4 linked regions of the Rhinolophus ferrumequinum genome follow. The protein of the gene in region 3 interacts with the protein of the main gene of each other region in a pairwise test. Links are inferred from orthologs where the notes say so. Each region holds a gene or a part of one and is shown on either strand. Other genes may lie near its edges.

Evidence for each region. The genes of interacting proteins can lie anywhere in the genome.
Region 1: the proteins of TRIM69 (region 3) and FAM110A interact in binary tests that used the Homo sapiens proteins (3 or more experiments, as listed by UniProt). The two-hybrid records come from large-scale screens. The link is inferred for Rhinolophus ferrumequinum from reciprocal best matches to the Homo sapiens genes TRIM69 and FAM110A.
Region 2: the proteins of TRIM69 (region 3) and FKBP1B interact in binary tests that used the Homo sapiens proteins (3 or more experiments, as listed by UniProt). The two-hybrid records come from large-scale screens. The link is inferred for Rhinolophus ferrumequinum from reciprocal best matches to the Homo sapiens genes TRIM69 and FKBP1B.
Region 4: the proteins of TRIM69 (region 3) and NEK8 interact in binary tests that used the Homo sapiens proteins (3 or more experiments, as listed by UniProt). The two-hybrid records come from large-scale screens. The link is inferred for Rhinolophus ferrumequinum from reciprocal best matches to the Homo sapiens genes TRIM69 and NEK8.

The regions. Positions count from the first base shown.
Region 1 is NC_046306.1:23,653,016-23,659,845, reverse strand, and holds the start of FAM110A (protein FAM110A), read right to left. Parts: upstream 3,019-6,830; 5' UTR 2,892-3,018; coding exon 2,845-2,891; intron 1,414-2,844; exon of another isoform or gene 1,190-1,413; intron 1-1,189.
Region 2 is NC_046296.1:55,718,044-55,725,984, forward strand, and holds the start of FKBP1B (peptidyl-prolyl cis-trans isomerase FKBP1B), read right to left. Parts: upstream 3,019-7,941; 5' UTR 2,761-3,018; coding exon 2,724-2,760; intron 1-2,723. UniProt on the Homo sapiens protein: Has the potential to contribute to the immunosuppressive and toxic effects of FK506 and rapamycin. PPIases accelerate the folding of proteins. It catalyzes the cis-trans isomerization of proline imidic peptide bonds in oligopeptides.
Region 3 is NC_046289.1:61,413,642-61,421,601, reverse strand, and holds the start of TRIM69 (E3 ubiquitin-protein ligase TRIM69), read left to right. Parts: upstream 1-4,942; 5' UTR 4,943-5,027; coding exon 5,028-5,030; intron 5,031-5,848; coding exon 5,849-5,944; intron 5,945-7,960.
Region 4 is NC_046304.1:18,737,019-18,744,798, forward strand, and holds the start of NEK8 (serine/threonine-protein kinase Nek8), read right to left. Parts: upstream 3,019-7,780; 5' UTR 2,983-3,018; coding exon 2,918-2,982; intron 2,683-2,917; exon of another isoform or gene 2,505-2,682; intron 2,482-2,504; exon of another isoform or gene 1,952-2,481; coding exon of another isoform or gene 1,917-1,951; intron 1,088-1,916; coding exon 882-1,087; intron 636-881; coding exon 403-635; intron 180-402; coding exon 48-179; intron 1-47. Other genes in the region: TLCD1 (TLC domain-containing protein 1), read left to right, coding at 5,381-5,574, 5,878-5,960, 6,053-6,135, 6,521-6,904; RPL23A (60S ribosomal protein L23a), read right to left, coding at 7,561-7,575. UniProt on the Homo sapiens protein: Required for renal tubular integrity. May regulate local cytoskeletal structure in kidney tubule epithelial cells. May regulate ciliary biogenesis through targeting of proteins to the cilia.

The DNA.
Region 1 (6,830 bases), on a different chromosome or scaffold from region 3:
CCCCTCAATTTTACAATGGAGGTGAGTACCTCACTTACCTCATCCTAGCCTCTCCTTGCATCACATGCCAGTTGAGGAAGATAATAAACTCACTAAAAAGTAAAATATACAAATGGGGTAAATGCCACTGAGAAAAACAGAATAGACAAGGGGGAGGGCAAGACATACGAAAGCGATAAATATTTGTGGAAAGAATGAATGAAAGACTTGTTTTCTTTCTGATTTCCCAGAGTTCCTCTCTCCAGAGTCAGGAGGGGTTCCGAGGATAGAGGATAAGTAACCCCCCCTTGAAGAAATTCAAGACTCTCAGATGCTATGGTTCTGAGCGTCTAGTATTGAAGCCAGACTGATTGGGAGCCAACCCCAGCGGTGCCAAGTCGACTGTGTGACTTCAGGCAAGGATCTTATCTTCTTAGAACCTCAGTTTCCCCACCAAAAAAAAGAAACCAACAATAATAGCTTGGGGGACCAGGGGTCACCAGGAGGCAGGGCCTGGTCTAGGTCAGACGCTCCACCAGGAGGGGCCCCGGACCCACCCCCTACTCCAAAGTCTCCTGTGGCTCCCGTGACTAGTGGCTTCCGATGAAGGGCTGCCTCTGTCTTTTCCCCCAACCTGGACCAGATTCCCAAGAGTCCAACAGCGACTCCAAGGTCACAACACCTGTTGCCCACTTGGCATCTAGCCCAGAAATGTCAGTCCAGCCCGATCCCCCCAGAGAAGCCCTCAGAACCCCGTGGGCAGAAGGATCCCAAATGAGCCCTAAGTCTAACCCGTGGAGTTCTGGAGAAGATCAGACAGACGCCCAGAAGAACACCCGGAGGACGGTGTGGGGGAGAGGGAGGAGGGAGGTGATCCAGCCAAGGCTCCACGGGGCTGTGTCCCTGCTGCTAAGAGGCTGAAAAAGTGACCACCAGTTGCCCATCTGGGCCTCTGCGGCAAATTTAGATCTACCTAGATTAGAGACCGCGAGGTAGAGCAGAAAGACCTGAATTGGATTCTCTGCAAGACCTCGCCAGGCTAGGACACTTGTCCTTCTAATCCTCAGCGGTGTCATCTGTGAAATGAGGTACCACTGCCTCCCACAGGTACAACGCCAAGAGGACGCACACAGAAGGCGCTCGATGAAAGGAACCGCCCCACCCCCACCCCCAGGCCCAGGCTCGCGCCCCAAACCACCCGCGCCCTCACCTGGAGCCGGCTATAGGCGAGTCCCGGCTCCTTCACTGCGGTTCTTGGAGAGGCTGACAGCTCAGACCCCGGCGGGGAATGGCTGTGACCAAAGCAGCTCGGGGGGCCCAGCCTCACGTGGGAGCCCGCAGGGAACTGTTCCGAGATGCTCTCCGCACCCGATTTGAGCGGGGGGAATCTGAGTGTCCTAAGGCCTCCACCGGAGCGAAGGTCCTGCAGCGCAGAGGAAGGGGAAGTAGGCATGACGTTCCTCCCCCCTATCACCGGAATGGTTTGCCCCGGACATCCTGATTGGTTCCTCGCTTCCGTTCGAACGCCGCGCCGCCCGGGTTGCCAGGCGACCGTTTAGCTTCGTTTCCGGAGGTGAGCGCTGCGCCTGGGCATCCGCCCCTCCCTGCGCCTTTGCGCTGGCCTCCTGTTCTTCCGGCGGGCACTGTAGTCCCGATGCCTAGTTGCTCAGATAGGACTTTCTCCCGGTCCCCAGCTGGATGAGGCTCACTTTAGGGTCCCCGGGTGTTTCCTATTCCCGGTTTTCCAGCTAACTCGTTGTATGTGCCCAGGGAAGCCCTTTTCCCTCTCACTTCCAATAAATAGGTTGGTTTTAAAATCCAGCACTCCCGAAATTTACTAAGGAAATGATCGAAGATATGAGCAAAGATTACTATAACCCAGCGTTATTTATCATAGCAAAATAATGGAAATAACCTCAATGCTTAGCGAAAGGGGATTGGTTACATAAAACCATTCTGGGGAAGAGCTAGGTTTACTGAGCTTTTTACATGCCAAGTAAAAAATATCATTTTCATGATATAACCCTTGTCAGTGTTCATGGCATAACCCTTTGAGATGGATACCTTTAATTATCCCCATTTTCTGACGAAGAATATTATGAAGCCATTAAAAATTATATAGTTAAAAGATATTTAAAGTATGGGTGAAATGCTACGGAAATATTAGGTTTTTTAAAAGTATGTCTCAAAGTACTGTGTACAACATAAATATGTATTAAACACAGTCATAATACCATATGTACATATGTATAATCATTTATAATAACAGCAGTTAATTTTTTCATTGTGCTTTTATGGATTTTTTCCAATATTTAAACATGCCAAGAAAAAAAAAAAACATTTTTTAAGAGGATTAGAATAAACTAACTCGAAGGGCTCTTCGAAATGAGGACATTTCATTGCTGAGTCACTGTTTGGGTCTAGGGCATTGCTCAATTTACAACCAGCCTCTGTTTTCTATTCCAGCTAGTGTCTTTCAAATTATTGGATTGGATTGGATTGCCGATGATTGAGCACTTACTGTGTACATGCCTTGGACAAATGCAGGAGGAGGACGAGTAATATATCAATAGCTAACAATGACTGTGCAGTCTGGCGTGTAAATGTGCAAGATTTGTTTGGCAGTAAGGAAAGGCAGGGAGGATCCTGTGATCCTAAAAGACACAGATAAAACTCAGCAGGGGCAGATGCCAACTTTGTATTTCCTGAGGCTTATACAATTTAGGGAGACTTACTTAAGAAAGGAACTATAAAATTAGGTAATAAACTGATTATTTGGTTAGAAAGATCAAAGAAACCACAACAAATGATAAGTTCCACAAAGATTACAAAATCCAGAAAAAGAACATTACTTTTATGAATTACCTGTTTGACATACCTCCATCAGACTTTCCATGAACAAGTAAGACCATTCGTACATGTCGGATATGCCTCTACACCTTCTTGTCACAGTGCCAGCGGAGTAAGCTCGGTGAGCTAAGTAGGTGTATCTCGGGAAGCCATTCCTATACCTTGACTAAACCTCAGAATCCTCTGACCCAGATCTCCAAAATGCTAGCTAGCCCTCGCTCCATCATCATCTGACACAAGGGGAAGTAAGAGTGGAAGGAGATGGTAGTTTTATCAGAGTGAGGTTAAAATGTCTTGATTTGGCAGATTTTACAAAGGCATATGACCATGTGAACACACTGCTAGGGTGCCTCCCAGACCTCAGCTTCTCAGTGTTTGTGTCAGGAATGACGACATTGGTGCAGTGGTTAGATTCTTCTCTGTGATCTACACCTGTAATCAGGGGTTGGGAGATACTTGAGATGCCTGGGTAAAGGGCCTGCTGACCCATACAGCTTCAAAGCTTGCCTTTGCCCTGTGTGCCCTGGAGCTTAAAACAAAACAACATAAAAATGCTGAGCCTCATTCCAGATTAAGAAAGTGAGACAAACAGAGGGCAGAAGGAACTTCCCTTGGACTCCAAATGAGGCCACATGAAGAGAGGTCATTTGGGCACACTCAGATTCTAGAACTCTGAGCATCTTCACCTGCCAACAGCATATTGGTGATGTCTCCTGTCTTCAATGATTTGTTGAGTACTTGTTACGAATTCAGAGTGATTGAGAACATTCCAGGCCTGCCCCTTCCCCGCAGTGTAGGGGTGGGGAGGAAGAGCCCATAAGAATAAGAAGGTGGACAAGCTGTCATTAGTGTGCCCAGATCAGAGGGAGCTGACGATCCTATGACCACATCCTGACTCAGCATGTGAGCGACAATAACATCCTGCCCTGTAGACAGGCCTGAGGCTGTTTCAGTGCCTCCTCCAGTATCCTGACCTTGGCAGTATTTTCTCCACTCAGTTCAAAACCGAGAGGAAATCAGCCTCAGATGTCAGCTCCCTATCTTCTATGCACCCCATGGCTGTATGTTGTTTTATTTCAGTTAATTTAAAGGATGTTCTCTCTATGTGTATTTGCTTGCATCTGAACTTTTCTCGAAGGATCTACCAGAAACTGGTCCTAGTGGTGGCTACTGGGCTGACTAGGGCACAAGCAAAGAAGAAAAGCTTTTTAGAAAATATTTTTTATACAGTTTGGATTCTGTACCTTAATGTACGATCTATTTTTAAAAAATAACATTTTTAAGGATATTCTATGAGAGAACAAAATAAGGGCGTGAATTAAAAGACATCTCAGCCCAACTATGTCCCTCCAAACACGGCAGGTGAGGAGGTCAACTGGAATGTTGTGGGGACAGAGTCCCAGAGAGCAATTTCCAGGCGCTTGGCCTCACGTGGAAAGGTGCTGGCTCGGTTATTAGATGGCCATCAGCTGTAATCAGATGGCCATCCGCTGTGGCTGGGTGGCCATCAGCTGTTACCGGTTAGCCATTAGCCACTAATACAACTGCCGTGGCTACTCTAGGGGGGTTGGTTGGTTGGCAGAGAAGCAGACAGCAGATTGCTGCTAGCAAGTGCGGTTAGCAAGCAGATTGTGGATTGCAGGTTGTGTTGATCCTACTTCCTATGTCTCGCCGGGCCGCCAGCGAGACTGGGGTGCAGGAGGACCCCTCATCTAGGTACTGGTGGATGTTTGCTTTTGTGTCTTGACCAGCCATCATCGAGAATATAGTGGCATGACTCCCCTATCCATGGCTCCGTTGTTGTTCCTTTTTGGCCTCACCATATCCTGTGTTCTTGTGCGGGGAGTGGGAGCTGAGTCCCTGCATTACAGATGTCCTTTCAGGAGGGCAACATAGTCACATTTCTCAAAAAGTTTTGAGAAATTTTGTGCTGTATCAGTAGGCCTGTACTTCGATCTAGCAACTGTACTTTTAGAAATTGACCCTAACTATATAACGGAGGAGATTCAGAAAGATTTAACAAGATTATTTACTATAGCATTGCTATTAATAGTTAAAAAAAAAAAAGGGAAACAACCACAACCTAATTTCCTGGCCACAGGACAATGGGAATGGTGAATGCCACTGGAATGGAATACCATACAGCCATTAAAAATTATGTTTTTGAAAAATATTAAGTGATAGGGAAAGATTTTTTTAATATATCTCCCAATTCATTCATTTGTTCCCAATTCATTTATTTGTTCCAGAAATATTTTTGAGACCTACTATGTAGACACAAGCACATCTTTCTGGGCCTCAGTTTCCTCACCTGTAAAATGGGATTTACCCATGATTACTTCCCAGGTTTGTGAGAGGCACCACACCCTGACTTACCCTCAGCGCCTTATGGCTCTTTCTCTTTGCTTTCTCCACTGTCTCCGAAACATGTTCAACCCTGAAGCCCTGTGTCCTCACAACACTTACTAAACAGCTCACAGAAACAGTGAAAACACTGTTTCCAGAGAGTGGGTCTCCATGATGTGACAAGGGACACTTCCTCCTCTGCTAGCACCCCCTTTAAAACACAGGTGCTTCCACTCGGACCAGACTGCCCAAACACGGGAACGGTCTTTAGTCACCAGTTCTCCACAGTACATGACTCTCAAACCACCTCAATGCCTCCAGAGGGCCAGGTTCCCCCTGCCAAAGAATTAGGCCAGTTTACTATGGTCATATTCCAGATTTGAGGACATACTCTGCCAGCTCAGTCACACTGTGAGTCACCCCCCAGTTGCCAGGCTGTGTGGCCCTGGGCCAGGCCCTTCTTATCTCTGAGCCTCAATTTTTCCATCTGTACAATGGACACTCACTTTGAGTGGACGCAAGAAGGTGCCCCATATACACTACCCAGGGGGGTTCCTGGGTTTCAGTCCTTATAAAGAATTTGATTCTAAACCAGCAGGATCAGAGCAACCACAAGGCCCAAGATGTAATTGCTGAAAACTAGAGATTATGGGGCCCACTCCTCCTGAATTTCCAGGAAGAAGCATGCAGCCAGGAGACACAGCAGGGGAGGGCTCAGCTCAGGAGCACCGTGAGAGCCCAGCATCTGGAGGAGAGACTGTTCTGTGATGTGACCACTGGCTGTCCTGAAAGCTGGACCCTGCCCAGAATGGAGGTTGCTTTCTGCAAACCCCTCTTAAAGACAATCTGATCATAATTGATGTTCATTCTGACATCCCCTACTATGTGCTGTTTCCTGGAACAGGTTGTTGTCCTGACCTGGTCAAACACGTAATTTCCTTCCCTGGCAGAAGTCACGTACTCGAACCCGTGACTATTGCCCCCTTTAGGCGGAGATCCAGTTCATCTTGCAGCCATCCAAGACATGTCTGTCATGTAACTTTCCCTAAATAAACTCTATTAATAACCAAACTGGAGTGGCCAGCCTCCTTCTTCGGTCGTTCCCTCCCTCTCCTTAGGGAGGTAGATATTCAGACTTGGGGCTTTTCCCTGGGTCTGCAAGTACGAACAGCCCGTGCAGCCCCCACGCCTCCTCTCCCTACCCTATGCAGCCACCCCAGCAATATCCAGCTTCTTGGAGCTGCCCCCCCCACCACCAACCCGTTACTGCCTCCGGTGCCCTCTGCCTGCAATGCTCTTCCTGCACTTTCCTCTCCTGGCTCACTCCCCTGTGTCCTGTGCAAGTTTCTTCCCAAGAGCCTTCCCTGTCCCCTCCTCAGCTGAGCTGCGGGACCTTTTTCTGTGCTCCCACAGTGTCCTGGATTTCTCCTGTCATATCAAATTGTCTATTTACAGGTCCTCTCTCCCCACACAAGTGACAATGAGCACGTTAGGGATAGGTGGGATTGGCCGGCTCCATTTCCCACGCCCCAGTGCATACAGCAGGCACTCAGTTAACACTTGATGACAGAACTGAGAAAGAGCCCACAGATTGTCTCCCATACGTGGCCCCCAGTCCTCTCCTCCCGAGGGGCTTTCAGAGGCGCGGCGTGGTA
Region 2 (7,941 bases), on a different chromosome or scaffold from region 3:
GAGGGAGCAGCAAGCGCACAAACCATGAGGCAGGAAAGGATCAGTGCATTTGTAGACTAGAAGGGGGGCCAGCTGACTGGAAAGAAGGGAAGGAAGAGCAGATGAGTGGGAAAGAGAGGACCATGCCGGGCCTTGCAGAACTGGATTTAATTCTAAGTGCAATAGGAAGCCACTGGAGAGTTTTAAGTGAGAATGACATAATCTGAATTAAGATTTTATAAGATCACTCTGGCTGCTGTGTGGAGGGTGGACAGCCAGGCGCCTGTTGCAGTATTCCAGACAGGAAATCAATGATGGTTTGAATTAACGTGGTGGCAGCAGAGAAGAGAGCAAACGAGATTGGAGATATATTTTGGAAGTGGAGCTGACAGGGTATGCTAATGGAGTGGACACGGGGTCCAGAATGAGAGAGAAGAAATCAAGCACAATGCGTGGGTTTCTAGTTTAGGTGCCTGGTTGGATGGTGGAGTGAATTCCTGAGATGGAAGGAACAGCTTTGTGCGGGGGGCAATCTTGAGATGCCTATTAGACATCTGAGTTTACACTGCAAATAGGCAGATAGAGAGTCTGCACTGGAGGTATAAATCTGGGTGGAATTTAAAGCCCTGGGGCTGGATAACAGTGCCTTGGGAGGGCTAACAACTGAGCCAACACTTAGGGGACTCCATGGGAACCTGCAGGAGGGAGCAACTACCTGTGGGTGTCAGGGACAGCATGAGAGAGGAGATCATGGTGAAACCAGGGTCTTGAAAGATGAGTAGCTTGCCAAAGGAAGTAAAGGGAGATAATGTGGGAACAGTGAACAACATGTTCAAAGGCCTAGAGTCAAGCATAGTGGGAGCCCTGTCTGATTCACTGCTGTAACCTTAGGGCCCAGCACGCAGTACATGTTCAATAAATATTTGCTGAATGACTGGTGAGTTTAACCACTTACAGGCAGCTTGCTAAAGCTGAAGAAAACGTTGGTAGTGGGGGTAGGGACTGGAAGTGAGAGATGAGGATGTAGTGTGGAAGTTAGGAAATAGGTGACGTCACCATCTGCCTGGAGAAGGAGATGAAAGACTCATTAAAATAGTTGACGCCTGGGGAGGGACATGGTCAAAAAGGCATTTGAAAGAGTCCTCAGGCTGTGAATATGAGTGAAGGTGAGGTGGGGAGACCAGACTAGAGGCTGTGCAGAAAGCCAGGTGAGAGATGATGGGGGCCTGAAAAAAGGCAGGGGATGGTGCCTGGAGAGATTCAGCAGGACTGGACAGGACTTGGTGTGGGGCGTGACCAAGACAGGTGTCCCCACCCCGGCAGCGTACGTGTTGACATATTCACCTGCATATTGCTCTCCTGGGTTACAGCACAGTTGTCTGACCTTTTTGTGCTTCCCTGACTCAGGGGTTTAAACCAGGCAGAAAGCAGAAGGCCACAGCTCCTCCAGACTTTCGCTAAAAATCGAATCCTCCTCAAGGGGAAACGCCCCTTGTCCCTGGCCAGGGAGGGAAAAATAGGAGAGAAAATTCTAAAGGCTTCTTTGAGCCAGAGAAAAGAGAAGAGATCTCCATTACCCCCCACCGCCCCCTCAGACCTGTATGGCAGTTCCCTGGGAGGGTGACAAGTTCTCAGGGATATGTTTCCGGACTCAGCACCATGGTTGCCAGCGTGGGCAAAGAAGCTGTACCCTACGGATGATCCTGTGTGGTGCTGGGGCTTCTAGGGACCGCTGCCTTTCTATAAGGAGTGGTCTGGAAGTAATTTCCGGGGGCGGGGGCGGGGAGTGTCAGTAATCTCTGACGTGAAGTTTGCCTGTCAAATCCTGCAGAAATAGGGGCTCCAGTCTGAATTAAGTTCTGTTTAACAAATAAAGACATAGCTATTCCTTGCACACCCACACCCAATTATACAAGGGTGACGCCTGGGGTGTCTGGCTTGGGAAATGAGTGGTGCCAGTCCTGGAGGCAGGGAACCGGGAACACAGAGTTCTGTTTGGGACTTGCTGACTGAGGTATCGGTGGCACGTCCAGGTAGAGGTTGAGCAGCAGTAGGACAGATGGACCACCCGGAACTCAGCTCAGAGGTCTGGGCTGGAGGCTTAAGTTTGAAGGCCATCGGTTTGCAGACGATACTGAAAGCCATGATGAGAGTGAAGTGGACAGGATGGCCAGAGAGGATGAGTTGGGCGGGGAGGATAAAACGAGATGCAGAGGCGGGGGGAACGCAGCTCCTTTCCTAGACTATCTCGATCCCCACCGAGTCTCATCGCCCAGCCCGCAGGCGGCCGCCCGACCTCCAGCCTAGCGGGGGGCGCGTTAGAAGGGGGTGGTCCCGAGCAGAAGAGACCCCCAAAGCATGTCCTTTCCTGTGTTTCTTGAGCTCACATAGCAGTGCAGGGAAAGCGGAGGTAAAACCTGGCCCTGGGAAATCAGCGGTAGCGGATAACTGAGCGGTTCCAGCCGCCGCAGCGGCAGCCCGCGGCCCCCGGGGCGGTGGCGAGCCGCAGACCCCCACCTCCTGGCCGCCGCCTCCGTTCCCCTAGGTAAGCCGACGCGGAGGGGAGGGCGGAGGATCGTCTCCTAGACCTCCAGCGATTCCGTCTGGGGTCTCCTGCCGCCGCCCCCATCCTACGCCCGCCCCTCTCTTCGGGCATCCTCCGCGCCACCTCCGAATCAGACCCCCGCCCCTCGTCCTCCTCACCCCCGAGACCCCTCCTCTCCCCCGGCTCCGCCGCCCGGTACCGTCTCCTGGGGAGATGGTCTCGATCTCCACGCCCATCGCAGTCCCCCTGGCCCCGCCTCCGAGGGTCCCCGCTTCTGCCGCGACCCCGGTTTGGCTCCGGCCCCGCTGGCGCTCCGACTCGTCTCCCCGCCGCCACTGCAGAGCCGGAGGAGGTGCGGCGGGAGTCGGGACCTGCGCGGGGTGGGGCCACGGGGAAGGGGGCGACGGGGCGGAGCAGCACGGAAAGGTGGGGGCGGCCGGGGCGGGGCCCTGGGGAAGGGACCCTGGCCTGAAGCGGCTGCTCCGGAGCCTGACCAGGCTGAAGATCATTGACCCACTGATTGGGGAGAATGTTGAGGGAGGAATGCAGACACTCGCGCATGCACCCACTCACCCATCTATCCATCTGTTCAACCCTTATTTATCTTCTCTGGGGAATCCACGCGGTCTCACAGACTAGGGGAAGGCCAGCAACTAAACCAACTCTTTAATGAGATGTTCTCACTGCCATGAGGTTCAGAACGTTATGGAAGCACCAGAGAGGTACCTGCTTTGGCTGGGCTGCCCAGATCTGCAGGAGCAAGCTGGGAGATGGGGAGGGGTGGGGTGGGAGGGAAGAAAGGGTCATTGCTGACCCTTCTCCACCCACTATAAGCCTTTATGCACCATCCCAGGTAGCTCTGCCGCTTGCACAGGTGCGTTCCCACCTTCAAGGCAAAGAACTGCACCCTGGGGATACCAGTTGAATTAAGACAGAATCACTATCCTCAAGGAACCAAATCTGTGATGGAGAGGGACACAGTTACTACAAGGAGTAATTCTGCTGTGGGATGAATGCATGAGTGCCACCTTGAGTTCCTCCTCCACTCAAAAGAGATCCAGGAATCTGTAAAGAGTTTTGGAGGAAGTAGCATTTGCTTGAAGAATGAATGGGACTTTAAATTTCTTCTTTACATTTTTTTTTCTTTTCTAATCCTCCCCTGCATTGTGTGAAGGTATGATTCTAACAAGTGCCCCTGGAAGGTAGGCATGAGCAGAAAAGTCGAGCAAAGATGTCCAGAGTAGACCCTAAAGGTGTTCGTCCCATTTCCCTACCACAACTCTCCCAGGTGGTTAGGTCAGAGACTTCAGGTTATCAGCATCGCTGAAGGGGGATTGGCTGTGTTGTCCAAGAAAGATGATGATCAACTGTATTATGAGGGTCAGGACCTGAAATTCCCCATGGGCTGCTCCAAGGCGTGGCTCGGAGTCTCGTAGGAGTGTAACTTGCTCTTAAGAAGCCTAGTGACCCACTAGTCCATGGGCTATGGGCATGGGCAGGCACTTTGGGGGTACGTGTAGAACAGGGGTGTGTAACCGGGACAGGTCAATGGAGTGGCTTCAGTTGAATGCACAATACTTTGTGTACAGATAAGAACATTTTTCTGAGGAAATTTTGTATTTTAAAGAGGTCCTCGACTCCTTCCCATCCCCGACTCCTCCTCCCCTCAAAAAAGGGTTAAGAAACCGTGTTGACTCTAGGGCTCCTGTACTCCTTCTTAGAATAAGAGAACCAATGAGAAGTCGGGGAAATGCTAAACCTCTTAAAGGAGAAATTGTGGCTGGCTTACGGTCGGTGGAGTTTCATGGGGACTACAACTCCCAGAGATCTGTGCGGCAAAGCCCGAGCTTATTCGCCGGTGGGACGGACCCTCTCCTAACGTGACATGGCAAAAGCCAATAGATAGAGCGCATTGCCGAGCTGTCCCGACCACCGCTGACCTATCAGAGGCCTTGGAGTCGATGCTTCCGGTACCTGGTGTGGACTTCGGATCCGAAGTGGGTGAGTCTGGGCGTTTTCCGGGGAGTGTGATTTTCGGTGAGGCCGTAAGACCAAAGCTATTTTGTCCCCACTGCTGCCCAGCCTGGCGGGTGTAGGAAGTCTGTGGGTGAGCGGGGAGGCAGGTGGAGGGACCGGCACTTGGGGGAAGGATGGGAGACACCCAGGTGTGCGGAGAGTACGGAAGAATGATGAGGGGCCTGCGTGCGAGGGTTGGCGGGTGCGGAGGAGCCTGGGTGGGTTTAAACGACTCAATATATTCCCTGTGACTCATGAGTGGCACTTCTAGGAACATATTCTAAGGAAGCTATCCAACATGAAGGAAATGCATTATGCATAAAGACCTGTATCACAGCGTTATTCATAATAGGATAAAGTTGGCTACAACCAGATGTCTTAACAGTAAGGCAAAATAATGTAACTTCAATGAATATTAAGTGACCCCTAAAAATAATTTACAAAACTTTTAAATAATACGGGAAAATGCTAATATACAATGTTAAGTGAAAAAATCGTGATATGAAATTGTACGGTGTAATTTAAAAAGCTTAACCAAAAGTGCATAGAAAAAAGTCTGAGGGGATGTAGTCAAACCATCTTTGGATAGATGGTTTTTAACCTTTCTTGTGTGTTAGTTTTTTAAAGTAAATGTAAAGAACTTGTAATTATTTTACAGTGGAAACACAATAAACTTAGACAAGCAAGTTGGGGGGTACGTACCTCTGTTTAAAGCTACTGAGAGTGCTCCAATTCACCTAAGTTCCTTGATTCTCACCATGAGTTTTTAAAGAAGATTCAAAATAGAGGAATTAAATGATCATAGACTAAGCACCAGGTCTTGGTTCTGGTCACCTCTCCCCTGAACTGAGTGGGCTTTTCTCTCCCTAAAACACCTACGGCTCCTGATTTAAGTTTTCTTAAAGTCTAAGGGTTCAGAGACCAACAGGTATACTCTTAGCTTGGGGCAAAATGTAAATATTTTTAAAGATACAAAATAATTGGAGACCTAAAGGTCATTTCAACCTTTCTCCTCTTGGCTCTGTGATCTTTCACAGTGAGGCTGTCCACTCCTTTGGCTTTAATTTCTAAATCCTTGACCTCTGACTGCCTAAGGTACCTTCTTACCCTATAGACATTTTAAGTGAAGCACATCTAATAAATGTATCACACACTACACATCCTTCTTACCTTTGAAGCATGTGTTGCCTTGTATAACTGTTAAGCTGTAAATGGTTTAACAGTTTCCCATGAAAAAAATTTGGGTGTCATCCTTAATTTGTCTTCCTCATTACTCTCGTCCTACTCGATATCATTATTCCATTTGCCTTAGAAATAGAATAGCTCTTGAATCTGGCCTTCTTTCTCTACTCAAGTATCTACAAACCTGGCTCACTTTCTTATTATGACCATCAAACTGTTTCATGCCCCCTTATTAAAGTTGTTGCTTTTCTTCTTTCTTAGGTCTGTCCTGCACATTGTCACATGTATGTGTGCTGGTTCCCCCAAATTTCCCAGCAGTCCCTGTATGATCAGGGAGATAAGGTTGGAAATGTATGTCAATATCAGATAACATAAGGCCTTAAATGCCTTGTTAAGACGTTTTGAAAGAATTTTTTATAGGTAGACTGTGGAAGCTCATCCAAAAGTATTTGAGCGGAACAACAAAATGACCAGAACTGTGGTATCTTTTCAAAGATAATTCTGTCCAACCATGCATAGTATCCAGGCTCTGTGGGAAAGAAGAGACTGGTATCAAGAGGACCTCTCCTGGTCCTACCATAAGGGAGAGGTGGTCAGAACCTGGACCAGCAATGGAGGAGAAAGGATCAGAGCAAATTGTTGTAATTATCATTAAGTTTTTGAGAAAAATATGCCAAATTTCTTGTTACTAAAGATGAAAATACTAAAATTCTTCTAAAACTCCAGTAACCTTATATTTGTTTTTCCCTTATTCGTAAATCCTTATCCTATGCTATCCCTGGCCGTACACACCCTCAGTGACATTAGCCTGACTTGGGTGGCTTAACACATGTAAGATGCCTTTGATATAATTAGTGCATTAGGAATTTTCTCCACCCATGAAAATGTATCATGCATTATTTAGCAATGAAAGTCTTTCAAAAGTACATAGGTAGATATTAGGGGAAACCATATATTATCTAATATAAGACCAGTGGGATAGAGATGGCACTTTTCTTCATTAGTAATGACAGGGGACGTATTTCTGCATTTGCAAGCCAGTAGAGAACCAGTTAATCAGACATTTTGTTCAGGAGCATAGCAGACCGTTCTTCATAGTGAAAGATTCCAAGAGCAGGGACAAAGCTAGCAAAGAGGTATGTTAAGTTTGTAATGAATATGGACAGGGCTAATATCAGCTATAATGTAAAGCCTAACATATATTTGAATAGTGGTGTAGTTCAGCAAAGAAGCCAGGAGGAGAGATGCAGATCTGAGAGAAATAAACATAGATGACAATTGAAAACATGAAAGTAGGTGACATTGGAAGGAAGGAAAAGAGAAAAGTGATGAGAATTGAGTACTAAACTTTTTGGCTCTATCCACATCTAGATAAAAATTGGATACAAGCAGAGCCCATAGTATGTGTGTAGCCAGCACTCATTCATGTGACAATGTGCAGGATACAGGAAAGAGAGAAGAAAAGGGACCAATCATTGAATACATTATGATACATACATACTATGGGACACCTTGTTGCTACTAATGCAGCTACTTAAAAGATTGAGGCCGATCTATATTACTGACGTGGAAAGGTGCATATGATTTAAAATAAATTAGTGAATAATATGTAACATATGATCCCTGTGGTAATCGGTCATTTTTTGAAAACACCTTCGAAATTTGGGGAGACTCTCCTTTTGTGTGAGTCTTGGTGGGAGGCAGAACACATCCCCTATTACAGAAGCCTATTACAGGGAGGGGGAAACCCTCCCTTGTCCCCCTCCTGGCTGCTAAAGCAGAGGGTATGTGAGCTGGTCTCAGGTGGTGGGAGGCTTCCCCACTTTCTGAATTTTAAGCAATTGCCATCAAGTGAGGGGTCAGTGAAATTAGAGTCTCCCCTGCTGATGAGTGGAGAGAGGCCACAGTGGTTTATCGCCTCACTGCAGTCCTGCTGGTTTTCTGAGCTTGGTTCTTGAGACTTCTTTTTTTGCTTCAGTTAGCCAGAGTGGTTTCTGTTGTTAATACCCAGGAACTCTGACTTATACCCCATTTTTTGTTTAAAGGAAAAAATTTAGCATATATAAAATCCTTTTTGTGTGTGTGTGTCTGTTTTGAAACGGTTTCTCTAACAGTTTCAAAGGCTGCACACCAAATTGTTAACAGTGCTATTGTCATGAACTTGAGCTTTGGGGGGTGGTAGGGGGTGGTAAAGAGAGGTTGGCATAGGGTAAGAGGAA
Region 3 (7,960 bases):
AGTGGTAAAGAGAGATAACCAAGAACCTTAACTATTTTGATCTGGGGGTCTGAGTGAAAAATAAGTTTAAGAGTCTACCTGGAGAATTTTTAACCATACGCTTGCCTTCACACAAGGTTAGGCTTAAAATATGTAATTCCTCTATGATCTGGAGACTTGAAACCAATAATATTGACATAAAATGGTGAAGCGTGGGTAGTAACTTGTATCTCCAAGAATAAACACAAATATTCCCTGGAGGGACACATCTTTAATCTAGGCTAAATAGAAAATAGAAAAGATTTATAAACTAAATTACACTAAAATTAAGAACTTCTCTTTATGGGAAGACACTATAATGGGAGTGAAAAGACAAGCCATACACTAAGAGATGGGAGAAGATATTTATATCAAAATAACCAAAACAGAACTATTGTCTGGAATATATAGAGAACTACTTTGAATCAAAAAGAAAAAGACAGGGGCCGGCCCGGTGGCTCAGGCGGTTAGAGCTCCATGCTCCTAACCCTGAAGGCTGCCGGTTCGATTCCCACATGGGCCAGTGGGCTCTCAACCAAAAGGTTGCCAGTTCAACTCCTCGAGTCCCGCAAGGGATGGTGGGCTCCGCCCCCTGCAACTAAGATTGAACATGGCACCTTGAGCTGAGCTGCCTCCCGGATGGCTCAGTTGGTTGGAGCGCATCCTCTCAACCACAAGGTTGCCGGTTGGACTCCTGCAAGTGATGGTGGGCTATGCCCCCTGCAACTAGAAACGGCAACTGGACCTGGAGCTGAGCTGCACCCTCCACAACTAAGATTGAAAGGACAACAACTTGATTTGGAAAAAAGTCCTGGAAGTACACACTGTTCCCCAATAAAGTCCTGTTCCCCTTCCCCAATAAAATCTTAAAAAAAAAAAAAAGACAACTCATTATAAAAATGAACAACGGGCTTAAACAGACATTTCTTCTTTAACAAAAGAGGATCCACAAACATGTGAAAAAAATCTTCAAGTGCATTAATAATCGGAGAAATGCAAATTAAAAAAGGCTGTATTGAAATACCATTACACATCTGCTTGTTTGGCAAAAATTAGAAAATATGACAAGAATAAGTGTTGGTGAGGATGTAGAGCAACCAAAATTCTCATCTTCGACTAGTAGAGTGTAAATTGCTACATTCATTTTGGCAAACAGTTTCATATTTTCTAGTAAAGGTGAACAGGTGTATATCTCATGATCTAGCTGTTCTATTTCTTGGTAGAGACCCTAGAGAAACTCTTACACACATTCACAAAAAGATACATACAAGAATGTTATTAAAAGCATTGTGTGTGACATGGATGGATCTTGAGATTATAATGCTAAGTGAAATAAGTTAGACAGAAAAAGTAGAGAACCATAAGATTTCACTGACGTGGTATATACAACTGAAAACAACAAAAGAACAAGAAAAACAAATGAAAAAACAAAACTCATAGACACAGACAATAGTTTAGTGGTTACCAGAGGGTAAGAGGGGAGGGGGGTGGGAGATGAGGGTAAAGGGGATCAAATATATGGTGAGGGAAGGAGAACTGACTCTGGGTGGTGAACACACAATGTGACAGATAGATGATGTATTACAGAATTGTATACCTGAAATCTATGTAACTTTGCTAACCATTGTCACCCAAAAACTTGAATTAAAAAAAAAAAAAAGCATTGTGTGTAATGGTCAGAAAAATTGAAACAAATATCCACGAACAGTAGACTGGATATATACATTGTAGCATATCAAACAATGAAATACCATATATAATTGAAAAGGAACAGCCACATGGGTTCTCCACGGATTAATCTTACAAACATAATATTAAGAGAAAGAAACAAATTACAGGAAAATACATGCAGTATGATTCCACGTACATACAGTTCAAAACAGAAAAAAACCCAAAACACTATATTGTTTAGGGATACAATCACAGATGGTAAAATAATAAAGAAAAGTGTAGGAATGTTTAACTCAAAAGGCAGGATATTTGCTCTCTATGAGAAGTGAGACACATGCAATTGGGAAGAACACACAGGGGCCATTTAAGGTATTGGTAGTTAGTGTTTTATTTCTTAACTTGGGTGGTAATTACAAAGTGTTACTTTGTTATTATTACTTAAAATGTATACAAATGTTTTGTACACTTTTATTATGCATGAGTATGAATAATATATCTCATAATAAAAAGACAATAAGAGAATGCAGCTTTACATTCACAAACTTAGGCAAAATATATTCCTAGAAAAACATAAATGACCATAACTGTCTCAGGAAAATATAGAATATCTAAATAAACTTATAACTATTCAAGAAGTAAATCAGTACTTCCAAATAAAACAAGATTTAAAAACAAAACATTAATCCCAGAGGTTTTGCTGGTGATACTTAAAGAAAAGATAATTCTATTTTTTACACAAATTCAGAGAAGAGAAAAAGAAGGCACATTCCTCCCATTATTTTTATGTAACTAGTATAACTTAGGTTAAAAAAAAAAAACACAGACAAAGATAGTTTAAGGAAAAAAAATAAAAAGCTATCTTCTACGTATGTAAAATAAAAAACATTCTTGTATGTATCTTTTATGAACATAAAGGTTGAATCCCAAATAAAATATTACCAAACCAAATCCAGCAATATGTGAATAAGATAATATATCATGATCAAGATGGAATAATTCCAGGAAAGAAAGGATGGCTTAACAATAAATAACCTAGAAATAACATTAAATAACCTAGAAAAATTCTTGCATATATACCAGGAAACACGTGGAAGAATGTTCATAGTAGCATTGGTTGTATGGCAAAACACCAAAACAACCAATTGGTTATCAACAGTAAAATGGATAAATACATTTTCATCAGTAAAATGTTATTTAGCAATGAAAGTGGATGAACTTCAGCTATGTTCATCAATATAGATGAATCTCAAAACTCATGGTGAGCAAAGAAAGCAAGGCACAAATACATAAAATATGATTTTTGTTTACATAAACATCAAAACAAAGGCGGAAAAAGAAATGATTAACAGAATTCAAGATAGTGATTGTCTCAGGAGTAGGGGAAGGGGCAGTTAGGTGGTAGGGAGTACATGGAAGACTTACGGGGTAGCTGGCAAGGTTCTATCTCCTTTCATGGTTGTTCATCATTAATAATTCAATAGTCTATACACTTTTTTCATGCTGCTTTCTGCATTTGCATTATGCTTAAAAATAAAAAAAGTTCAAATAATAATTTAAAAAACTTGTGTTCACTAAAAGATATCACTAAGTAAGTGAAAAGGCAATCCACAGAGTGGAAATACATATTTGCAATATGTGTACCTGATAAAGAACTCATATCTAGAATAAGTGAAGAACTCCTGTGAATAAAGACAACTCAACAATAAAATATACGCCTTGTATGGGCACTTCACAAGAGGGGAAATGCAAATGGACAATTAATATATGAAAATGGTCCCAATATTCATAGTCATCTGACAAATGCAGATTAAAGCCACAATGCAATCCTACTGCATACCCACCAGGATGGCTAAATGAATATACTTATACTAAGTGTTGACAAACATATGGCACAACACTGGTGGTATTGTAAATTGATATGACCACTTAGAAAAAGTTTGGCAATATCTACTAAACTGAATATATGCTAATCCTATGACCCACTCCTAGTTATACACCCAAGAGAAGTGTGTGTGTGTGTGTGTGTGTGTGTGTGTGTGTGTGTGTGTGTGTATTCACCAAAGAATATAAACAGGAATATTCCTAGCAACACTATTTGTAAGTCCCAAACTAGTAAATACCCAAAAGTATATCAACAGTAGAATGGAAAAATAAATGATGGTATATTTACACATTTATACTATACAGCAATAAGGATGAATGGACTGCAATTACATAGAACAATACGGATGAATCTCACAACTGTAATGTTGAACAAAAGAAGCCAGCAACAAAAGAGTACATATTGCATGGTTGCATTTATATAAAATTCAAAAACAGGCAAAATTAATGTATAGTATTGGAAATCATTGAGCTGTATAATTAAGCAATAATTAAGATTCCGTATTTTTCTGTATATATGTTATTTGTGTAATGTGTTTTTTACAAAGGAGGGGGGAGGACCTGGATGATTTTATAGTTGGGGATATTGTGCCATTGACTGAGGAATCTGATTGATCTTCCAATTCTTTGTACATGAATTCCAGAAAATAAAGTCAAACACAAAGGTAGTAGTAACTAGGAGAACAGAAGTTGAAAGCAAAACTTGCAACTGACACATGGGGAAAGGGGTGGAGGGATGGATGTACAACAAAATACATTTCTTTGGTTGAGTACTCTGTTAAAGTTTAAATAGTGTCGGGAGTAATAAGAAACGATGATGTTAGAAAGCACTGAATTTATTGGATCAATTTCAAAGAAGAGATTATGGTGCTTCTACTTTGGCTGCACCAATTCTCAGCTCCTTTAGGAATGGAGCCCACTAACCTGAAGTGCTGAAACGGACAGCTAGAAAGAGAACTTATTTTAGCTGTTGTTTTCCAAAGGTATCTCCCAAACCCTCCGCAAACATTGACCCAGGCAACCACATTGAAGTGAATGATTTGATCACCCAGATACCCTCTAAAGTGCAGATACAAGATATTACTACGGAGCTACACTGTCCTCTGTGTAATGACTGGTTCCAGGATCCACTGATGCTAACCTGTGGCCACAACTTCTGCCAGGCCTGCATTCAAAACTTTTGGAAGCAGCAAGCAAAGGAAACATTCTGTCCTGAATGTAAGATGATATGTCAATATAGCAACTGTACATTCAACCTTGCACTGGAGAAGCTGGCAGAGAAGATGAAGAAGCTACCCCTACTCAAGGGCCATCCACAGTGCCCAGAGCATGGAGAGAACCTGAAACTGTTCAGTAAGCCAGATGGGAAACTGATCTGCTTCCAGTGCAAAGATGTTAGGTTGTCTGTGGGGCAGTCTAAAGAGTTCCTGCAGATCTCTGATGCTGTTTGTTTCTTCATGGTGAGTGAGCCCTGGGCTTTGAACAATCCCTTAGGGAAGCTGGGGGGAGGGGAATATTCTTTCTTCCAGTCCCACCCCTTTATTCAGATGATTATTAGAAAGCTCAGAGTGCTCAGAAAATACAACGTATCTTGCAATGTTCTTTCTCTAGAATTGCTGATTGTAGGAGAGGAGCAGTGGAGGACCTGTGGCCTACTCCTTCAATCAATCAAATATTTACTTAAACCTTGCCGTGACAGCACTCTGCTAGACTAGACACTGTGTAGAATATGGACATATAAGATATTGTTCTGGTTCTAAAAGTCTTGAGATTTAGTCAAAATGAATAACACAATGGAAGTAATATAAGATAGTCTACAATTGAGAGCATAATTTTGTCACATTAGTAATTCATAAATGTTTAGAATTTCAGAAAAGATTGGAGAAAACTGAAATAGTCAGAGGATGTATGGTGAAAAAGTTTGAACTGGGAAATAATTTGGATTTGGATGGGCAAAAGGAAGAAATAAGTGCTCTAAATGAAAACAATGTAAGTGAAGGTATTGTGAGAACAGTCTAACTAGGGTAGAAAATATATAGAGTTCTCTTGCCTTTCTCAAACCCCTGTAGTTAACTAAGAAGGTAAAACAAACTAAATGTTTCTGCTGCTTGTAATTTTCTTCACAATTCTTGGAAGAGACAGGAACTGTGATACAGGGGAAAGGAAAGACTTTTGCAGCAAGAGTTGGCTTTTTTTCTGACACTGGGGCTTTGGGGGAGATATCTCTTATGGCCCTTCTCCCAAGTCAGTGTGGGTTAATTCCACGTGGTATTCCCAGGAGGAGCTTACCATCTACCAGGGTCAACTGGAGGCAACCCTGAAGGAACTTCAGGCCCTGAGGAACATGCAGAAAGATGCTATTGCTGCTTACAAGGTGAGGTGCAGGGCAGAGGGGTGATGAGATTGAACTTGAATATAGCCTCCTTGTAACTAGCTATTTGGGTCAAAGGGTACCTATACTATGTTATCAGTACACTAAATGATAACTGGGCGATAGAATTAAAAACCAGGCACAGGAGGGTGGAAAGGAATGTAGCAGAGGAGTCAGTTTCCAATAGTTGATCTACAGAGTGAGCGGACTGGCCTTTGCCCTAATATGCTGATCCTTTTGATGGTTCAGTCACTAGGTATTGGGGTTGTGATCTGTCTGGTCTTTCCTTTAATCTATGGCAAAATGAGGAATTCATCTATGGCAAATCCACTAAAGATAGCTCTGTCCAAAGAAATACCTTTCTTTTCTTTGGGTTTGCAACCAGGCTACCTCAGAACCAAGGTCTCTCAGATTGCTGGTTTTTCCCATCAGATTTGATCTTTCCTAACTTCCTCCAAATGTAATAACACGACTGCCTATACTTTCAACTTCACAGGAACTATAGGACAACATTAATGGTTAGAGACTTGGCAAATCTGTCCCTAGGGTGGGGGGAGTTTTATTGCTTCGTTCATTATTCTATGGACGGGAGTATTCGCTGGCATTTGGCATCTGAAAGAAGAAATATATACAGTGAGAGGAAGAAGAAGGATAGAGGGAAATAATGATGCCTCCAAAGAATCTTGTTCCTGTTTTAAGGGTTCCTAGTTCAGCTATTAAAGTTAACATTCATTCATTCAAAAATATTTACTGAGTGGGTCAAGCATTACACTAGATACTATATTCCACTAGGTTGGGAGACAGAAGTTAAGTAACCCCTCCAACAACAATAAAATAACAACTGTGATAATTACTATAAATGAAAATACAAGGTGCTATGAGAGCATATAAGCGGGGAACCGAACCTAGACTGGGGGAGTTCTCTGAAGAAGTCACCTACTAATAATTGAGAATTGAAGGATAGGTAACTTAGCTAAGTGAACTGGGTGAGGGGAATATGAAGGACGGGTTCTGAAGAAGAATGTTCGATGAAGAGTAAAGAGCATATGGAAAAGTCCTGAGAAAGGAAGTTAGTTGCTGTGTTAAACAGAGAGAAAGCCAATACAACTGGATCCAGGTAGGCGAGATGGGATTGAAGAGGCAGATATGGGCCCAAACACGTAGGCTCTTGGAGATAATGTTAGAAATGTTGAACTTCACCCTGTAAATAATTAGAAGCCATTAAGAGGTTTAAACAAGACATAGCTTCATCTTATTTTGAAAATATCAGTCTGGTGGCTCTGCAGAGAATGAACTGAGCGAGCCGAGGACATGGATAATGGGGAGAAGGCTACGGCAGTGGTCCCAGAGAATGATGGAGAGGCAGTGGGCGGGGGGGGGGAGAGAAATGAACAGCGTCAGCATATGCTGTGGAGATAAAAAATAACCTGGATGTGGTGATTCATTGGATGTGGGGGCGAGTGGAGATGCCACACAGACAGTTGGACATAGGAATCTGGAACTTAGAAGTTGATGTAGGCTGGAAAGAGGACGTCCGCATATAGATGGTACGTAAAGCTGTGGTAAAACAGGAAACCACCTTGAAAGAGTGCAGAACAAGAAGGGAAGAGAGCCCAGGACAGAGAATATCAAGTAACTCTAATATTTAGAGCTTGGTTAGGGGAGTCAGAACCAACAAATAAGTCTGAGAAATAGTGGTGAAATAGGTAGAAGGAAAATTGGAAACGTGTGAGCTAGAGAAAAGAGAGAGTTAAAGACTATTTGATGAGCGCAATTATAATGATGGACTATAGAATCCAAGCTGGGTAAGAGGGGACATGGAGACAGAAGAAGTTGAAGGAACAGAAATGGAGGGGTCAATATATAGGAGGTTTCAATGAGACCCCAAAATTGTTGCAACAGGGGTATCTGAGTGAGTATAAAGTTATTTTTGGAGATGGTGCAATTGCTGGGTATGATAAAATCCTCATTGTAACCAAGAGAATGAGTAATAAAGGTGGAAATCACTAGAAATGAGGA
Region 4 (7,780 bases), on a different chromosome or scaffold from region 3:
AGGGAGACGGAGCTCTCCCAGTCGATTCCTCAGGGGCGCTTACTCACCGCGGCCTCGAAGGCCCTCTTGAGGCTGGCCAGCTCATAGAGGACGCAGCCCAGAGCCCAGATGTCACTCTTCTGGTTGTAGGGCTTGCCCTCACACAGTTCGGGGGAGATGTAGCACGGAGTACCCACCACCTGCAAGAGGGAAGTTAATATTACAGCCCAGGGAGGGAAGACTGAGGCCCACGTGGAGACAGCTTCTCCCCAAAGCAGGCCAAAGTGCTTCCTCTTGCAGGACTACCCAGCCAGGGGCTACGGGCCCGAGGTCTTGGGGGGTGGGGTGAGAGATAGGCTTGCAGAGTGCACCTTGGCCCTCAAAACCTCCAGCACCCCTGAGGTCCCCTCCATGCCCAGGCACCGTGTAGGCCTTGCTCTTGCTGCTAAGGATCTTGGAGATTCCAAAGTCGCCAATTTTAACGACCATGCGGTGTTTGTCGAGAAGGATGTTTTGGGTCTTGAGGTCCCGGTGCAGGATGAGGTGGGTGTGCACATGATGCAGCGCGAGCAGGATCTGAACAAAGAAGTGCAGGATGGTCTCCTCCTCCAGCAAGGAGTTACAGCGCTTTTGGATGAACTCAGCCAGGGTGCCGCCTGCAGCCGCAAGGGACTAGTCAAGATCTAGGCTTTTCCAGGCCTGAGACTTTGCTTTTATAAAACTAAAGACCCAGACAGGGCCAGGGCCTGCCAGCATCACACTACTGGGGTCAGAACTCTACCCCTCTGACCCTCAGCCAAGCCCATTCCAAGGAAGGAAGCTGGCTGGTCTGTATCTGCCGCCTCACAGAGCTGACAGGCCCTTGGAGCCAGGCCGGTGCAAGGGGCCTGAGTCGGGCCCACCTGGTGCGTATTCCATGGCGATCATGAGAGCTTTGTCCTCCAGGAAGTTCTCGTAGTACTCAATGACATTGGGGTGGTTGAGCAGCTTGAGGACCTGGCACTCATTCTGCGCTGCCTGCCGCTCTTCCTTGGTCATCTGCTCCACCGGGATCTGCTTGATGATCACCAGCTTCTGGTCCGCCTTGCGCAGACACAGGTGTACAATCCTGAGGACACAGCGTACAGCAGTGGGTACCATCTGAGCTTCCAGCCACATGTCAGGTTGGGCAGACCTGACGACTGGATGGTGACTAGACTTAAAAGAGAGGGGACTGGCACCCAGACTAAGAGGTCATCTAACTAAGCGCACAGAACCCTGAGTTTCGGAATGGGGAGGACTAACCACAAACTCTGTAAGACCTTGAACAAATCATTTAACTTATTTGAGACTCAGTTTCTCTACAGCCACAATGAGGCAAAGTTAGGATTCATCTTTCTAAATTTCAACTGCCTGGGTTCACATCCTGGCTCTTCCTCTTACTAGTTATCTGGTCTTGGATTACGTGACATCATCATCCGAAAAATAGAACTGACCTCACAGGTTGTTGAGAGGATCAAATATGAAAATGCACGTAAGGCACTTAGCAAAGTGCCTGGCCCATCAAAAGTGCTCAATGAGTGGAAGCCATTCACATTATTATTTTCTTCCAAATCTGTGGTCAGTGTCCATAAAAGCAGGGTTCTTATTCTCCACTATATACCTAGTGCATAGCCTAGGATATGCCCCAGCACATGGCAGGAGCTCAGTAAGTATCTGCTGAATGAACAGACTATAAGATGACCATCTAAGTATCAACTTTGTATCTCTCCAGTTCAGGCCTCTCCTCTGAGCCCGACTCATATATCCAACTACGGTTTTGCATCTCTACCTGAATGGCTCACTAGCATCCTAATTTAACAAATTCAAAATATTAACAAAATTCTTGATTCCTGCCCCCAAAATCTTTCCTTCCTTAGTCTCTTCCATCTCAGCAAATAGTTATTAAAGCCAGACACCTGAAAATCATGGCAGAATCTTTCCTCCATTTCATACTAACACATCAGTAAATCCTGTTTCTACCTCCAAAATATTGTGAACCCATCCATTTTCCTCGGTGTCCTCTGCTATAACCGTTGGCCCAATCATCATTTCTAGCCTAAAATACTGCACTACCTTTCAAAATGGTCACTTTCATTCTTGTCAACCTCAAATCTAAACTCCACACAGCAGCCAGAGTGATATTTTTAAAATGCAAATCATATCAAGACCACATCCTCTGCTCAAACGGTTTTCTTTTACATGGCAAATAAATTCAACCTGAGCCTACAAGGCCAAAATCTGGTCCCTCCCTCACATTTTATAGCATTCTTCAGCTTGCTGGCTACATTCCAACTACACTAGTCTTTTTCTCAGTTCCTTGAATATTCTGAATTTTTTCCCCACGTGAGCATCTTCACTCACATATGCCGTTTCTTCCACCCGAAAAGCTCTGCCTTCACCTGTCTCAAGGGCTGATCCTCATTCCTCAAGCCTTGGCTTTATACCTCACCTCTCGGAGAAATTTCCCTCTACCACCCCAAATAATTATTTCCTTGGTGTTGTACCTTATTCTCGCAGCTTCTTAAATAACGGCTTTAACAGTGTGTTGTTTGTTGTATGTTTTTTCTATAGTCTGTAAGCTCCGAAAGGGAAAAGATCACACCTATTTTGGTCTTAACTGTATACCCATGGCCGAGAGCCTGACATGTAGAGTCGGCGCTCAATACCGGTTATCTGTTGAAGGAATGAGTACGGAATCAAACAGAACTGTGAGGGGCGCAAAGGTTTGCCGGGGTGTGACCTCCTTAGGGGCGGAGTCTCTAGGACTAGGACTGGGACCGGAAGCCTGGGCGGAGCTTCCCAGAGTCGGCATTCACGCCTTGGGGTTGGAGCTAACCCGGCAATAATTTCGCGGACAGAGTTGGGGTTTATTTTCCCTCTCCCCGAGCAATTGCCTCCCCCAAGAGCCCTGGCTCACCCAAAGGCACCTCTCCCCACCACTCGGATCTTCTCGTACTTCTCCATCTCATTTCCCAGTCGCATTTCCGGAACCCCCACACTCAGACGCTGCGCGTGCGCGGACCCGCCCACTCCAGAGCCACGCCCTTACACTGCAAAATAATTGCGGGGCGGAGCAAATGGAGCTGGGTGTTGGTTCAGCCTCGCGTCTCTCTGCTGATTGGCACCGTTCCTACAAACCTGGTCCGAAGGGTCGCTTTTCCAGGGTCCAAGGAAGAAATGGGACGACATGCCATTTCTTGGCGCGCTTCTCAATGGCCTGCACGTAATCAGCCACTTCTCACACCTGTGGCCGCATCCGGCCCTCGCAAAGCTTCATTAGACTGGAGGGGTGCCCTGCGCAGGCCGAGTGAGGGTGGGAAGCAGGGACATCCTTTTTCTGACCCCCGTTTTGGCCACTATTGACGCTGTTTCAGAAAGAGAGAGCAGATTCTCACTGGGATGCAGACTGAACTTGGAGCTTCAGCATCCTCACTCTGTGGGGTAGGGAGCAGGGTTAGTTTCGTATTTGCCTAGGGCGCAACAGGGAAAACCCCGACCTGCGCAAGTTGAATCACCTAGGGAGGATATGATACGGTCTCCAGACTGTCCCGACTAGTGAACACCGCGCTCGTCAGCACACGCAACCCCCAGCTGAACACACACAACCCACCGCGGGGTAATTTCCCTTCTAAGCTCAACTAGGGAGAACCTCCTTAGAGGAAGATGGGAGGAAAGTAGATCACTATCTGAAAGAGGGAGAGGAGGAACGGCAGCCGTTTGGCCGATAAGGGTTCAGGCTTCTGCCCAGAGGTAGGGGGCTAGTTAGTACGAGTGTTTAGGGTCTTGACAAGAAGTGAATTTAATTCCAGGTGTCTCCCTGGTACCTTCTGCTCTGCACGAGTCCACAAAAGCTCAGTTAAGGAGCAAGGGGGTGGTGATTAGCTAAGGGATAGCGTCCCTGTTTCCGAGTGGGTGAGGAATGTGAGGAATGAGGTGTTTATCTTTGCTCCCACCCCACCCTTCGAAAGAGTGCCCAAATCTGCCTATGTGGGATGACCACTAGAAGGGCCTCAGGAGGGCTCCTCGCAGGCTTAGGCCGGTGTTGGCTAGTAGACAAAGCTGCCCTGTGAGCAAAGGGGAGTGCAGAGGGGGAAAGCCGCTCATCCGGGACACTCGTGCTCTCACCTAGAAACCGATTGGGCCTTGGTTGACTCAGGATACCTCACGTGGGTTAATGTGTAACCTGGGAGCCACCAGGGGAGGCTGAGCAAACACCCAAACCTCTTAGTCCCTGGATCTCTGGCGCCTCAGGCTTCTGGCTTTTCCTCCCTCTCAAAGCACCTTTTACCTCGCGCCCCTCCTCCCCCTCCACTCCTCCTCCTCTTCCACTCCCGACTCGGCTCTTAGCCGCTCCGGGGTGCGCTGGCGTATGGCCTGCTAACCCGCAAAAACAACCACCTCATTCCTTTGGAGGCTGGAGGGGAATCCCACGCCACAGTGAGGACAGGCTGACACCTAGTGGCTAGAATATGCCACTACTCCAGGCCACTGGCCTGAAGAGTGAGGGTCACCCTAGCAGCCTGGACAAACGGGCGGTCTTCCTTGCTCCAGCCCTCCAAGGAGCTAGGAGAAGAGAGCTGGGACTGCCTGAGGGAGGATTGTGACAGCAGCTCGGCCCCAGGAGCTCAAGAGCGGGCTGGGAGGAGGGATGGTGATGGGTTAGTCAACAGTTTCTGGGAACCGACTATGTGCCGGGCGCGTAGAGGCAGGTAAGCACGTCCATCTCTAGTCTGAAGACGCTACGGTAGCGATCCAGTGGAAGAACGGGGTCTGGGCAGAAATTGTTGTCGGAGGCCGGGCTCCGATACGTCCCCAGGATCTGGGTTTAAAAGACGTGGGTGTGTGACGAATCCTGCCCAGCTCTGCCCAGAAAGGAGTTGAGGGCGGAGAGAGTTCTCGCAGTACCCGCCCAGGCGGGGGAGCCGGTGGCCCCGGGGAAAGAGGGGACGCGGGTTAATGAGGCCAAGCGAACCAGAGAGTCGGCAGTCGGGAGGCGCCAGCGAGGGGTACCTCCGTGGCGGTGCCCCAGGACTGCCCCCTTTCGCCCGAAGTCTGCGGGAGCCAGGCAAGACGCGGGAGGCCCCCCCCCCCGCCCCGGGAAATGGGGCTCGCGCCCTCCACGCAGCAAAGGCGCCCGAGGGGCGGGGGCAAGCGGACTGGGCGGGGCGGGGGCGCGGGCGACTAGGGGCGGGGGCAGAGGCCCTCTGGGAGGGAACGGGAGGAGCAAAGGGGCCTAGAGGGCTCCGCGAAAAACTGTGAGAGGCTGGCGGCCGGCGGGATAGGCGACCGGGGTGGACTGGCCCGAGAGGGAGCCCAGTTCCCCGTACAGCCCGAGGAGGCCGCCTAGAGGGCGGACAGACCGACGGCTGGGAGGGCCAGCATGCCCCCATTGCTACACCCCGCCCTGCCGCTGCTCCTCGGCGCCACGCTGACCTTCCGGGCGCTCCGGCGCGCGCTCTCTCGCCTGCCTCTCCCGGCGCACGTGCAAGCCGACCCTCTGCGCACCTGGCGTTGGCACAACCTGCTCGTCTCCTTCGCCCATTCCATTGTGTCAGGGATCTGGGCACTGCTGTGGTGAGTGAAGGACCGGGGTAGTGAAAGTGGCTAGGGGATCCCGCCGTTACTCTCCCCATCACGGGGGGCTGAGGTTATGCAGTCTCACATGATTACTTGTAACCAATCGGGAACTGCTTCGGCCCCAGGGGAAGAGGATCTCACCTGGGAAACGGGAGACACCTGGGTTTCAGCCAAACCCCTCCTCGGTTCCCAGTCCATAGTGGGAGCCCAGAACTCTCCTGGGACTGGCTTGGGTAATTGTGAGTTGAGGGTCCTTGGGAATGGGAAGATGAGTGGCTGCCTTCTTCCCTCCCTCCCCAGTGTATGGCAGACCCCCGAAATGCTGGTGGAGATTGAGACGGCATGGTCGCTTTCTGGCTATCTGCTCGTTTGCTTCTCCACAGGTAAGTCTTGCCCAATAAGTATTAAGAAGGTGGAGAACAGGGAGAAACTCCTTAAATCCCCTTCCTGACCTCTTCCCCCATCCCTCCACTAGGGTATTTCATCCACGACACAGTGGACATTGTGGTTAGTCGTCAGGCTCGAGCTTCTTGGGAATACCTCGTCCATCATGTCATGGTGAGAAGCAGGGGGTGTGGTATAGGTCTGGTGCTAGCAACTTCAGTCTCAGCTGTCTTGCTGAAACTGGGAAGGGGAAGACCAGCTTTTCTTAACCCCATTCCCATGGTGTCCTTTGCCTTCCCATGCTAGGATACTAAGGGTTGGCCCTACCTTTGTACCCTTGGTTCACTATCTTGAGGCCAGCAATCCATAGCCTCACCTAGTACCTCCTTAGACGATAAACTCCACGCAGGGATCAAAATTTAATGGTAGATTCACTCAATTGTATGCCAGCAGATGGGAAGGTTTTCTAGCCCTGTTTGGTAACCTTGATACTCCCACCAACTTCCAGTAAAGCCTTAGGGAATCTGTTTCCTAATCTGTTCTCTCCTTTGCCCTCTAGGCCATGGGTGCCTTTTTTTCAGGCATCTTTTGGAGCAAGTTTGTAGGTGGGGGCGTCCTCACGCTGCTGGTGGAGGTCAGCAACATCTTCCTCACCATCCGAATGATGATGAAGATCAACAATGCCCAGGACCTCCTCCTTTACCGGATCAACAAGTATGTCAACTTGGTCATGTATTTTCTCTTCCGCCTGGCCCCTCAGGCCTACCTCACCTATTTTTTCCTGCAATATGCAGGCCAGAGGACCCAGGGCACCTTTCTGCTGGGTATCCTGCTCATGCTGGACATTATGATTCTCATCTATTTTTCCCGCCTCCTCCGCTCTGATTTCTGCCCTGACCGTGTACCCAGCCAACAACACAAAGACAAATTCTTGACGGAGTAAGAGGCACAGAGCCTGGGACTTGTGGCAAGGACAAAAAACACAATCAAGGGAGAACAGCCCCACACATAAACTGAGATGAGCCCCAAACCTGGGGCATCCAGCCTCTCCACCTGTCAAGCCTGCACCCACTATTGAAAACACTAATGAAAACACTCTGAAGTCCTTGTCCTTTCTTGGGCAAGGGGTGAGCGAAGCAGACAGACCGGTTGGACATGGTAGGTGGGTGTGGGGACAAGGTGCTACGTGAGAGCCAGCCAACCCACACTGCCCTGAAATGGATGCTAATAAACTCTTGGTATTGGTTTCATACAAAGCCTCTTCGCCAGAGATAAAGTTAAGGGTTCTTATAAAACTTCTTGCTTGTTCTCTTACCCCTGTGATGGAGAGAAGTACTAGTTGTCTCAGGACAATCCTAGACTGAGTCACAAATATCTCCTATCTGAGCTCCCACCCACCAGGATTATAGCAAGTATAGTGCCATGATAGAGCTAAGTGTTCCAACAGGGTTATGTACACCAAGAGTCTTGTGTAAACCCTGTGTATTGTGTACAAGTATACCCAAGTATGGCCTCCCCCCAGCACAACCAGAAATCAACATAAAGAGACAAATATACAGTGAAAAAGTTTGTATTTAGAATTTGCCAGCTGGACTCAGTTTAGATGATCCCAATCTGAAAAACAAAAGGGAGCTTTGTTACTAGGAGTTGAAATGTGAAGATTAAGCTGGAATGTCATGGTTAAAAAGCAAAATGTGGGCACAGGGCAGGGCCTATTAAGGATAGGAGAGCAGTCTGTCAGTTATGACTAATCAGCAAAAGTCAGGCTTTGGTCGGAAACAGACACACCATGTGCAGCCAGCGGGTGGGTATTAAGGAG